Caenorhabditis elegans: one gene and its partner. The protein of the gene in region 2 interacts with the protein of the main gene of each other region in a pairwise test. Each region holds a gene or a part of one and is shown on either strand. Other genes may lie near its edges. The genes, in order: mdf-1 and mdf-2.

Region 1 (5,019 bases), on a different chromosome or scaffold from region 2:
AAATGTTATTACATGAATTAGATCATCAGGATCCACACGATATCCACATTCTTCAGCAACTTCTTCTGATGCAATTTCTCTAGGAGATAATCCTTCCTTGTCAATTAGTCCAGCACAAAGTTCAATGGTGTAGCCAGTTTCAGAATCATAGCTGCTCCAGTCAATTTTATCAAATTCTTTACCGTGATTCTCCGGCGAATTTGAAATTGATGCGGTGAAGATTGCTAAAAAACAACTTAACGCTCACATTTCAATAGAATAAAATTGGAAACCTGGTCGAAATTGACGAACTAGAAGAAATTGCTCTAAATCTCTATGAAATAGAAGAATGGATACACTGCTCATTTTTTGATTGAATTCACTAACACGTGAATTTCCATCCAATGTGTAAGACATCTCCATTCCTTTCTGATATTTTGATACAAAATCAGTCACAAAAGAGACATCACTAATTTTTGACGCTGTCATCTGAAAATATATTTTCTTATATCATTTAATTGCGGTATCATTCAAACTCGTTTTAGAAAAATACAGGATGTTCAAAAACCAATTTTCCTATTTTCATAATGGTATTTCTCCTATATACGAGCAGATAAACTTTAGATTGTACGAAACAATATACCATAGTAAACATTGAATTGGAAAGAAAATATAACGTTCATTGTGTGATTAATTTTGATCACTACACGTTTTAGATTAAAAAATAAATAAATAAAATGGAATGAAACATCAAATATTCAGGTAACAGTGTATTTAACAGCTTCTCCTTTGAAGAAAAATAATTGAGATCTAGATAGCTCAATGATTTAGTCCTCGTGTAAGACACTGAATGTATGTGTTCTCTCATGCATCGTCTCGTCAAAATCTCGATCCTGTTCCAGCTGAAGAGTCATTGCTGCTAAGAAAGCCGGAATCGAATTTCGGTCGCCAATGTACCTGAAAAAACATATTTTAAGAAGATGCCTCACAACAACGGGGAGTATTTATACTTCTAATAGTAAGTAACCAGAAAATTAACAAACTTTTTCATAAGTGGCTCCCACTTTCGAAGCATTTCAGTAGTTGATTCACAGCTGACATCAAGCATATCGATGCGAGGAGTTCCATAGAAATACTTAAACACGAACTGCTGAGCGGAACCACCTTCATATTCGCTTTGTACAGTGCATATTCCTTCGTCTGCATCTTTCAGTTTGATTTGGAGACCGGTCAGAGCAATACAAACTTGCCGGAACTTCGACGAGAGTTCCTTATGAAGATTGTAACTACTTTCGAGTACTTTTTTCTCACTTTCGCAGTCGTAAAGACGCTTCTCCAATTCAGCAAACTCTTGCTCTCTCCATTGATCACCAGCTGGAGCATCTGTCAACTTTCTTTTCCTACTTTCAGACGCTTGGAATTCATTGTGAGCATCTTGGAGTGGATTAGAAGCCATATGGAAAATCTGTGTACTATTTCCGGCATCGGTTGGAGCAGGTAAAGATGCCGGTTCTGAAGCTGGGACAGTTAAAGTCATGCTGAGAACTTCATCGAGCTGAGATTGAGATTCTTCCAACTGTTTCTTGACCTTCTCCAATTCATTGTTGCTCAACTCTAACTGTTCAGAGAGCCGGCTTTTCTCATTTTCAAGGTCTTGGCTTCTGACTCTCTCGCTCGAAAAAGCATCCTCAAGTCGTTCGTTGCGACGAGCACAGTCTGTGCTTTCTCGCATAACTTTCGTCATTCTGGAAGTAGCTGCTTCAAAATCTTTTTCGAGCTGATTGTTCTTCGTAATGAGCTGAGTGATTCTGTCAATGAGCTGCAGTTGCTTAGCGGAATTGTCTGAACTCGAAGGAATTTTCTCGTCTATATTGAACAAGTTCCCTGCTTGGCCAATCCGAATAGCTTCAATCTCACTCTAAAATAAATTAAACGTGAAATTAGTTTAACAATAATTATTCACTCACAAATGTGCTGTCCAACTGCTTATGGAGAGCTTTCTTCTCAAACTCTAAAGTACGATTACGTTCTTCGAAAATCATCGACCTTTCAGCACGCCCACTCGAGACATTCAAACGATCTTTGAGAACACTGTTTTCCAGTAGTAATCGCTGAATTTTCTCATCTTTCTCGTAATCAATAAGTGATCGATTGGCAATGCAGCCATCAGTCATCATTGTTTGATCTTCTGGCATTATGGTGTTATTTGAATCCTCGAGAAGTGTGAAATTGGATTCTGAAAATACGAATATATTTGCCTGCAAACAAAAGTTTGAAAATTCCGGACTTACGAGGTAGAGTAAAGTTAGCAGCCGATTGATCAGCACGAGCGATTTCTCTTTCCGTTTCAGGAGATGGTGGTCTACGGGTAGCAAATGAAACACCTTCATATTCTAGCAGACTTCCTGAACCAAGTTCTTCTACTGTTTCATCATCATAATCGAATTGTTCAAGAGCCCTGTACATCTGTCTTGGAACTGCATTCAATCGTGTAACTTCTTCGTCGTTTTCAAACTTTCCGTCGTTGTCTATGTACAATTTCACAGATTCCAGCTGAGTATTCGCCATTGAGTACCAAGTGTAGTATTTTTTGCCGAATGCTGTCCAAATATCAACGTTTCGATTACACTCTGCGATGGTGTCATCTCGTTCTTGCTTCAGAAGTTCGACTTGCTCTTGCAGCTCCAACATTTTCTCACGATTCGTCTCCAGATCAATGGTTTTTTCAGCCAACTTCGCTTGATTCGTTTGCATCATTTGTTTCATACGTTCGTGATCTTCACGGAGTGTTACCAATTGACGCTGTGCCGACTCTTTTTCTTTTTTTGCACTTGCCAATTCGATTGGAGCCACTAAATAAAATATTTTAAACATTTTTAATAAATGGATTAAGTTAATTTACCAGGTGAGAGTGTCATATCGAAATTGATTTTTCTGGCCTCCACCGGCGCATGTCGACGAAATGTTGCCTGCTTCAGCTTTTTTTCTGTCTCTGCTTTCAACGGAAACTCTCTTTTGAACTGTTTTTTGATTTCTTCAGCGAACAACATTGTAGCTTCCGACTCTTCATATTCGTCTTCATCGACAATGTCTTCATCGTAATTCATGTCTGAAAAAAATCAGTTACATAATGTATTACAGTGAGCGATTCGAATTTTGAGATAGAGATTAATAATATGTTTAATGCAATCAAGGGAAGTCAAACAAATCCATTCGCACAAAAACAGTTTATCGAATGTCACCAAACAAACTGCGAAGAAATCTTAAAAATAACGTCTTCCCGCCCACTTGCAAGGGCGCGGCATTATGCAATGCTGCCGCACACTTTTCCCAGCAATTCTTCAGCCTCATTTTTTATTATTATTTGGTCATTCGGAAACATGTTCGGACACAAGAACATGCAAAAATAGGAAAATATGATCTTGCGAATAGTTTTTTTTTCAAAAATCCGAATTTTGGGAAGTTTCTTACCTGGAAAAATTGTATTTAAAACAAATTCTTATTTTCATTTTAAAAAATAATTTACTGATAACTGCAAAGTATATGAATTTATTTCATTTACAATTCAGCCGAGTAAACAATACATTCAGATGACATATAAATTAACGGGGCGGAGTATCTTTAGTTGCAATATTCATCTGTGACACTGCTTATTCTTTGTCTCCTGCAGTCTTCTTTGGGAGAAGCACGGCTTGGATGTTTGGAAGAACTCCTCCTTGGGCGATGGTGACTCCAGCCAACAGTTTGTTCAATTCCTCGTCATTACGGACAGCGAGTTGGAGATGTCTTGGTGCAATACGGGTTTTCTTGTTGTCACGGGCAGCGTTTCCAGCCAACTCGAGAACTTCGGCGGCGAGGTACTCCAGAACTGCTGCGAGGTACACCTGGAACATTATGTTTTTAAAAAGTACAAGAGCAAAAGTGATATAATTTGGAAAATGCTAGCAAGTTCAGGTTTGAACGATTTTTTAATCTAGGAAATGCACAAAACACAGCAGCTCTAAAATTCTACATACCGGTGCTCCTGCTCCAACACGTTGTGCGTAGTTTCCTTTACGGAGAATACGATGAAGACGACCAACTGGGAATTGAAGTCCAGCTCTCGACGAACGGGACTTGGCCTTTCCACCGGTCTTAGCTTTTCCTCCCTTTCCACGTCCGGACATCTTTGCTGAAATTAGGTTGAATAACAATGAACTAGAAGTCTAGATGAGCAAATTGGAGGTGAAAGAGAAACAGAAAAGTGGTCTAAGCCGACGAAAATCGATGCAAAATACGCATGCGCACACGCGCCCGCCTCTCTATTTAACTATTTCTCTCGGTGTGGGCGGAGTCTAGTTCCGCGGCAGCGAGAGGTGGGGCCACCGCTGGCGAGTATAAAAGCGCTTCGCAGCGCTCATAGACAACACTCGCCAAACACATCGATTCGTTTCGCATTTTCGTTTCGTGTCTCATTCGATCATGGCCCCACCAAAACCATCAGCTAAAGGAGCCAAAAAGGCTGCTAAGACCGTCAGCAAGCCAAAAGACGGAAAGAAAAGAAAGCATGCTCGTAAGGAATCCTACTCGGTCTACATCTACCGTGTTTTAAAGCAGGTGAGAATATATTCAAATCGAATAAGTTATGATAAAAAAATGTTTTAGCCATTAGCATGTTGTATGTTAAAACTACGTACCACTTAGTACGAACTGCAACGATATAATACCGGTATTTAAAAATCATTTAAATTAGTCTTGGGGGATCATAGAAATCAAAATAATATTAAGTAGTTATTCTGTCAAATCAAAAATATTATTAAATAATTTGCAGGTTCACCCAGACACCGGTGTGTCATCCAAGGCTATGTCGATCATGAATTCGTTTGTCAACGATGTCTTCGAGAGAATTGCTTCGGAAGCATCTCGTCTGGCCCACTACAACAAGAGATCCACCATCTCTTCTCGCGAAATCCAAACCGCTGTCCGTCTCATTCTTCCTGGAGAACTTGCAAAGCATGCTGTTTCAGAAGGAACCAAGGCTGTCACCAAGTACACTTCCAG
Region 2 (7,570 bases):
TATAAATAATTTTAACAGATATTCGAAGGAGGAATATCAAAAAATTCAAAAAAAAAAAATCAAAAAATCACAATTTTTTTCAAAATTTTAAAGAAACTTCTTTTTTTGGAAGAAAATTTTGGAAGATGTAAGGAAGAACATTTAATTTTTTTGCGTTGATATTTTGAAACTTTTAAGTTGTTGGAGTTATTAGGAAATTTAAACAATTTTGGCAAAAATATCAAAAAATTTTGATTTCTCAAAAAAAAAAATTCCAAATTCCTTTTTTTCAACCAATTTTTTTTTGATTTTTCTGCATCTTTAAAGCATACTCAAAATAAAAAAAATATATATATAATTTGGCAGTTTTTAAAAATTTTCAAAAAAAAAAATCGCGAAAAAAAGTTACAAAAAAATTTTTTTTTTCCCTAAAAAACTTATCCTAAATTTCAAATTCTCTTCTTAAAGTTGATAATTATCGTGGCGGGACCCCCTGCTGACAACTTCTAAAGATACCCCTCCCGGCGGTCCCACCGGCCGCCAAAAAAGGCCTGCAAAACGGTCCAAGAGGGTCAAATTACATAAGGGAGAACAAAACAGGTGTATTTAGTATATGTATGTTTAAGGATATTATACGGCAGTTTAAATATGGAAGGGGGAGTTTTTAAATTTTTTGGAAAAAAAAATTTTTTTTTTGGAAATTTTGAGAAAAAATTTTTTTTTTGGAAATTTAATTTTTTTTTTTTCAAAAATCCCAGCTAACTTTTGATTCAATTTTTTTAATTCTTATATTTTCTAATGCCAATTTTTTCCGAAAATTGTTCATTTTATTCTTGAAAAGTTTTTTAAAAGAAAAGCTGAAAATTTTACAATAACGCAGATGAAAATTCCAAATTTTTTGGGGATATTTCGCCAAAAAAATCATTATGTGAATTTGTGGTGATGAAGATGATGACAATCGCTTTGAAAAAAAAAATAACAAAAAATACAAAATTCGGGGGAAAAAAATGAAAAATTAACAATAAAATTGGACATTTTAGTTTGAGCCAATTTTTGGCAGACAGAGAGAGAGAGAGTAAGAGTAAAGAGAGGTAGCAGAGAAAACAGACAAAAATTATTCGGGGGAAATTTAAAAATCCGCCTTGTACTGTACATTCGTGTTAACCGAGTGAACTGACGTCGAGAATGAGCGAAGTTGCACCTGAAAAAAAAATCAAATTTTTGAGGGGTCAAATTCGAATTTTCTGTGATTTTCTACCCCTAACCCTAAATTTTCAGAGCTCTAGCTCAAAATTACGTAAAATTCGGTGTGGTTACGGTAGCCGGTGTTTGCGTACTTTCGGGGCTACAGTAACCCGAAATGTTCAAAATTGCGCTATAAAGATGTCCATAGGTGCATTTTGTGGCAGAGAATTTAATTTTAAAAACGAAAAAAGTATCAATTTCGGAAAATTCAAATTTTTAAAAATTTCTGATTTTTCAAAATGAAAATTCAATATTAAATTCGAAATCTCCGCCGTTTTTCACCTCTTCATCTCAATTTTCAGAGCTCTAGCTCAAAATGGCGTAAAATCCGGTGTATTGGGTGACGGTAGGCGGTGTTTGCGTACTTTCGGGGCTACCGTAACCCGAAAATTCGAAATTACGCCAAAATCTCCCAAAAAAAAAGCTCTAGGGGAGGGAAAAAAGCGGAGAATTCGAATAAAAATTGTGACAATTCGAATTTTTAAGAGTTCCGCGCAGTTTTTCCAATGAAATTTCAATATTAAATTCGAAATCACCGAGTTCTAGCTGAAAATGGCGTAAAATCTGGTGCTTTGGATTACTGTAGTCGGTGTTTGCGTACTTTCGGGACTACAGTAACCCGAAAGCTTGAAATTTAAGCTAGAAGCTGGAATATTCTAGAAATTCGAATTTTTATATAAAATTTGTTGTGGAAAATGTGTAAAGTACGCGAAAATTCCAATTTTCTGGAAATTTTCAACAAAAAATTCGTTTTTTCCGAATTTTCAGTGATTTATCTCAAAATCGCGTTAAATCTGGTACTTTGGGTTACTGTAGTCGGTGTTTGCGTACTTTTGGGGTTACAGTAACCCCAAAATCTTTGAATTTCGCGGTACTTACAGTCTCCGAATTCTGAATCAAACAGGCTCCGCTTTCAGTCCAGTCCTCGGGTGCTTGAGTATCTTTTCCAGTGTAAATGAGCACATCGAACGAGACAGGCTCCTCGAGCAGTGGCAAGAATGACACAGATGCGGTGATTTGGCTGAAAATTTAGATTTTCACTACAACTTTTTCCTCACGAGGGACGAGGAAAAGTGGTTTCTAGGCCATGGCCGAGGGGCCGACAAGTTTCAGCGGCCATTTATCTTGCTTTGTTTTCCGCCTGTTTTCTTTCGTTTTTCATCGATTTTTTTCGTTTTTTCTTAATAAAACTGATAAATAAATATTTTTTGCAGATGCTAAAACAATTTCCAAGTAAAAATCATGTATTCAGTGGGCAAGCAGCGGTGAAAGTGGGCATTGTGTAATATGATGGATTACTGGAATACAAAACCTAAACTTTTTCTGAAAAATGATACACATGCTGCTTAGATGCTGAAACTACCTGATTTTCATAACGATACCACTGAAAAAGTTTTGAGGTTTTCAAAATTCAAATTTTTTAGTGAAAATCTCGACTTTTTCACCAAAAAAGTTGAATTTTGGAAACCTCAAAACTTTTTCAGCGGTCTCGTTATGAAAATCAGGTAGTCTCAGCACTTAAGCATCATATGTATCATGTTTCAGAAAAAGTTTAGGTTTTGTATTCCCGTTATCCATCATATTGCATTGACCACTTTCACCGCTGCTTGCCCACTGAATACATGATTTCTTTACTTGGAAATTGTTTCAGCATCTGCAAAAAATATTTATTTATCAGTTTTATTAAGAAAAAAACGGGAAAAAGCTGTGAAAAACGAAAGAAAACAGGCTCAAAACAAAGCAAGATAAATGGCCGCTGAAACTTGTCGGCCCCTCGGCCATGGCCTAGAAACCACTTTTCCTCGTCCCTCGTGAGGAAAAAGTTGCAGTGATTTTTTTTCAGGAAAAATCGATTTTTTCAGAGATTTGAATTTTGTCCGATGCAATTTCCTATATTATTTACATTTTTAACGCTGAATTTGTAACACTTTTCACCTCAAGACATTTATTTTAGCTTAAAATCGCGTAGTATCCGGTGTTTCTGGGCTACGGTAGTTGGTGTTTTCGTACTTTTGAGACTACAGTAACCCGAAAATCTTGAAAAAGAGAGCTAGGAGATTGGAAAAAACAGTTTTCGGCCTAAAATAAAGTGGGGAATTTGGATTTCGCCATAAAAACTAGTAGAGTAACCTTATAAAAATGACAATTTTCGGGGAAAAACTCATTTCTTATGCTCAAATTCAAACTTTTTCTCCATCTTAGCGCGAAATCGCGTAAAATCTAGTGTTTTGGGTTACTGTAGTCGGTGTTTGCGTATTTTTGACGCTACAATAACCCAAAAATTTCCTAGATTTAGCTAGAGCCTTAAAATTTATGTTTTAGGCCTAAAAATGGCAATAAATAGTAGATTTTCCCAAAAAATTTCCGAATCAGTTCAAAAAATTGAGTTTTCTGACTCTCGAAATTTTTTCTGAATTTTTCATCCTGAAATTCAGGTTCACCGTCATTTTCTGCTTCTGGGGGCTAAAATTTTCAGATTTCTAGCTCAAAATTGCGTAAAATCCGGTGTTTGCGCACTTCTGGGGCTACAGTAACCCAAAATTCATAAAAATTGGGTTAGAAGCCTAAAAACTGGGTGCTAAGGGTAGAAAATTGTTGGAGAAGACGAATTTCACATTGGATTGCACTAATTGCCGGCGATTTTTGGTCGAATTTCACTGGAAAACTTTTTTTTTTCCAACTTTTTGCGTCAATTCTCAAAACTTTTACGTTTTCCTCCATTTTTTTTGCGTATAATTTCCGTCTAAAAACCCATAATACAAATATAATTGAGGATCATCTCTTTCCTTCCTTCTTCCACCAATTAGTCAAATAAAACACGTCTGTCGCCTAGATATGGTATTCTCCCAACCAATAAGAGCACCATCACACCACCTGACGCCACAAATTTGTATTTTGGTTATTTCTAATCAAATTTCTCAAATTTTCGGGGGTTCTTTTCTTCTTTTTGTCCTTTTTGAAAGCCGTACCGAATCACATCGCTAATCTCCTGCCGAATCTTCTTCTCCTCCTTGACGCGGTGCGCGTTTTCTCTGCAAAAATTGGGAATTTAGGTCTAAAAATTTATGAAAATTACGAAATTTGACCTTAGAAAAGTTGAAAATTGGCCCTGAAACCCTGAAATTGCCCTTACAAAAAGAAACTTCCCATGCCGGGAATCGAAACCGGGCCGCGTGGGTGAAAACCACGAATCCTAACCACTAGACCACATAGGATCCAAAAACTGAGGGCGCGAGTGCATAGACATGCCGGTGGGGGCCAGGGATTTATCGATTTATCGATTTTTTTTTCGCTTTTTTTTTCAGTTTTTTGCAAATTAAGCATCTCCTTGACCTCTCTGCTTCCGGCTGAGCACACCTGTTATGCTTCTGAAGACTCTCCTCTTGGTATAATGTCTATTGCGTCATCATAGGGCGGTTGCCGGAGCACTTGAGAGTCAAGAGGTTTTTGTTGTTGAAAGGGATTATGAGACAATGAGAAATGTATACATATCACACCTTTTTGAGGGGGTTTGTGATGCAATTAGTGGGTTTCAGTGAGAATTTTGAAACAAAAAAATCCGAAAAAAATGCTGAAAATTAATCAAAACGTGCGAAAATTTGTAACTTCTATCGGTAAATTTCCAATTTTTAAAGAAATTCTCAAGAAAAAATCAATTTATTGCTCCGGAAAAGCTGAGAGTAACCTAAAAATTGAGACAATTCAGTTAAAAAACTTCAAAAACGCGCCAATAATTAGGAGATTTTAATCGCAAAACTTGGCCAATTTCAACAATTTCAACAGGAAAAATGACCATTCTGAAGATTTTTTCAGCCAAATTCCCCAGTTTTAGCGGAAAAAATTGAGCTTGACGCCGGATTTTGCAGCTTTGAGCCAGTTTTCAAACGATTTCGTACCCTTCCTCGGCCAAATTCTCTGTATGAATATCGAATTGCCATCTTTCCACGACTTCCTTCGTCTTCACCTCGGAAATCACCATCACCAACCGTTTCAGCTGTCTTTTCGCGAGCCAATCTGCAAACTTCAGATGATTTTAACGCTGAAATTCGAATTTCCCCCGCCGCCGCAAAAAAATTACATTCAACTTGCTGCAAAAGTGGATCCATGAACGCTTGGAGCTTCTTCTCATGAGCCACCCACAGTGTGAGCCCGTACTTCTTCTCACGCTTGAAACTGTCTGATGGATAAAGCGCACGTTGATAGAGAATGCTGTTAAGGCCGAAATCTGAAATAAAAAACGATAAAATCGCGAATTTTTGCAGGGGAAAACCGTACGGAAGAACTCTTTGACGAGTTGGGCAGATCCTTTGAGGGAAATCGCGTTTTGTGTCTTTACATCCGTCATTTCTGATGAATTCCCTGCAAAATAACGATAAAAACTGATTAAAAATCGAAGAAAAATGACCGAAAACGCGCCGCAAACAGTTTAAGATTCGAATTCTCCCGCCGAAACAATTGCACGAGAAACGCGCCAATAAACATCACGAAACGCGCCAGCAAGCGTCCAAGGCACATATCGATTTTTCTCGCGACTCGGAAAAGAAATTAATTAAAAATCTCGAAAATCATCGATTTTCATTGTTTCTTTCAGTTTTTTCATTGATTTTTTGGTAAAATAATTGATAAATAAGTTTTTTTTTTCAGAAATGAACCGCTTGATGGTTATTTCGGCTCGTCGGATGGCGTCGGCGGCTCCAAAAACGAGCACCGGAATCGAGCACGCAGAGAAGGCCAGACAGGTCGCTGGTATGGCTTTCTGAAACTCTAAACTAGATAATAATCCGTCATAATATTGTATTGAAAAAGTTTAAGCCAAAAAATTCCTTAAAAATAGCTGAAAAAGTTGAATTTTTGCGGAAATGGCACGAAAATTCGATGTTTCCCGTAAAATCACTGAAATATTTGATTTTTTGCATTAGAACTTGTGAATAGCTAAATTTTTAGTTACAATTTCATTGAAAAAAGCTAGTTTCTGCAAAAAATGTCGATTTTTCGCCATTTTTCTTGTTAAAATCGATTTTAGCCGAAAATATTCTGATTAAACATTAAAAATGAGCAGAATATCGATTTTTGTCAGAAAAAAAAACTATGAAAAGTCTAATTTTCTGGAAAAATGTGCATTTTTCTAGAAAAAAAATCGAATTTCAGACAAGTTTTTCCCAATTTCCATCCAATTTCCACGCAAAATCTCTCAATTTTCAGGCGGAAAACCCGATTGGTCACTGTACAAATGCGACGAATACCTGAAATTCGACAAATACTCGTACGCTCACGCCGAAATCACCATGAACAAGGATCGTGTCGTTCAGCCGTCCTACAAGAAGGCCGACGTTCTTCCGAAAGTTCGAGCTTAATCTTTTTTCGACATTTTCTGTGTGAAAAATAGAGTTTTCGGTGGATTTTATCATTTTTTTTGTGTAGATTTTTCGTATAAATATGAGTTTTTACATAGATTTTTTAATTTTATTGATTTCATGGCTGTTTCCATGCTTAATTATCTAGTAACAAGTCGTTGAAAAACGAAAAAAACACAACGATGCTCCGATGTTCCGCACGTGCATGTTGTTTATCATTGCTCAAAAAATGGCGGTTTTTCGAATTTTTTTTGTGAATTTTTGCTGTTTTTCCGCCTAAAAAAATAAATTTTAACACAATAATAAGCCGAAGCACAATTTTTCTTTAATGCCTGCTCGTTCCCACGGTGATTGCCGCCACAAGGGATTACCTAGCAGCGAGTTTCCATGGTGATGGGCGTCGCTAGCTTTTGTTCAGAGAAGCAGATGTCATATTCATTGAATTTTTAATTTTTTCAATCAAAATCGCATTATTTTCGAGAGATTCGAGGGAAAAATCGAAAAAATTGCAAAATTTTGATCGAAATTGTTGATTTTCATTATTTTTCGCAATTACTTCAATGAAAAATCACTTCAAAATGACCAAAAATGGTGTTTCGATGCAAATAATAAGGGTTTTTTTTTCAGAATAAGCTAGTGAAAAAAAAAAAATCGAATTTTCACTATTTTTCTCCTCGTTTCTTTGATTCTGCCATAAATACGATTGGAGAGAGTAAAATCTGAAATTTTTCCGAAAACCAGTTAAAATTCTGTTATTTTTCAACAAAAACCGTAAAAAAAATCATTAAAAACCTCGGAAAAAAAGTAATTTTTCGCTTTTTTTAAAACAATTTTTAACGATGCTCCGAAATCCCGCATGCGCGTGCTGTTTAGCATCACAAAAATTCGCGATTTTTTGAATTGTTCGATCCTGAAATTGCATTTTTTCTCGTAAATAATTAATTTTTCATGATTTTCAGGCAATTCCATGTCTGAAGAACTACATTCCGACC

The links.
Region 1: the proteins of mdf-2 (region 2) and mdf-1 interact in a two-hybrid assay, tested with the Caenorhabditis elegans proteins (4 studies listed by BioGRID).

What each region holds. Positions count from the first base shown.
Region 1 is NC_003283.11:9,541,139-9,546,157, forward strand, and holds mdf-1 (uncharacterized protein), read right to left. Parts: upstream 3,089-5,019; 5' UTR 3,087-3,088; coding exon 2,882-3,086; intron 2,832-2,881; coding exon 2,271-2,831; intron 2,216-2,270; coding exon 1,947-2,215; intron 1,898-1,946; coding exon 1,023-1,897; intron 937-1,022; coding exon 807-936; 3' UTR 644-806; downstream 1-643. Other genes in the region: C50F4.16 (Uridine diphosphate glucose pyrophosphatase NUDT14), read right to left, coding at 1-224, 273-468; his-35 (Histone H2A), read right to left, coding at 3,630-3,863, 3,996-4,145; his-41 (putative histone H2B 3), read left to right, coding at 4,441-4,575, 4,790-5,019.
Region 2 is NC_003282.8:2,635,442-2,643,011, forward strand, and holds mdf-2 (Mitotic spindle assembly checkpoint protein MAD2A), read right to left. Parts: upstream 5,584-7,570; 5' UTR 5,570-5,583; coding exon 5,500-5,569; intron 5,450-5,499; coding exon 5,303-5,449; intron 5,239-5,302; coding exon 5,121-5,238; coding exon of another isoform or gene 5,105-5,120; exon of another isoform or gene 4,257-5,104; coding exon 4,194-4,256; intron 2,246-4,193; coding exon 2,104-2,245; intron 1,181-2,103; coding exon 1,109-1,180; 3' UTR 788-1,108; downstream 1-787. Other genes in the region: nduv-3 (NADH dehydrogenase [ubiquinone] flavoprotein 3, mitochondrial), read left to right, coding at 5,871-5,970, 6,427-6,578; Chaperone ric-8, read left to right, coding at 7,546-7,570.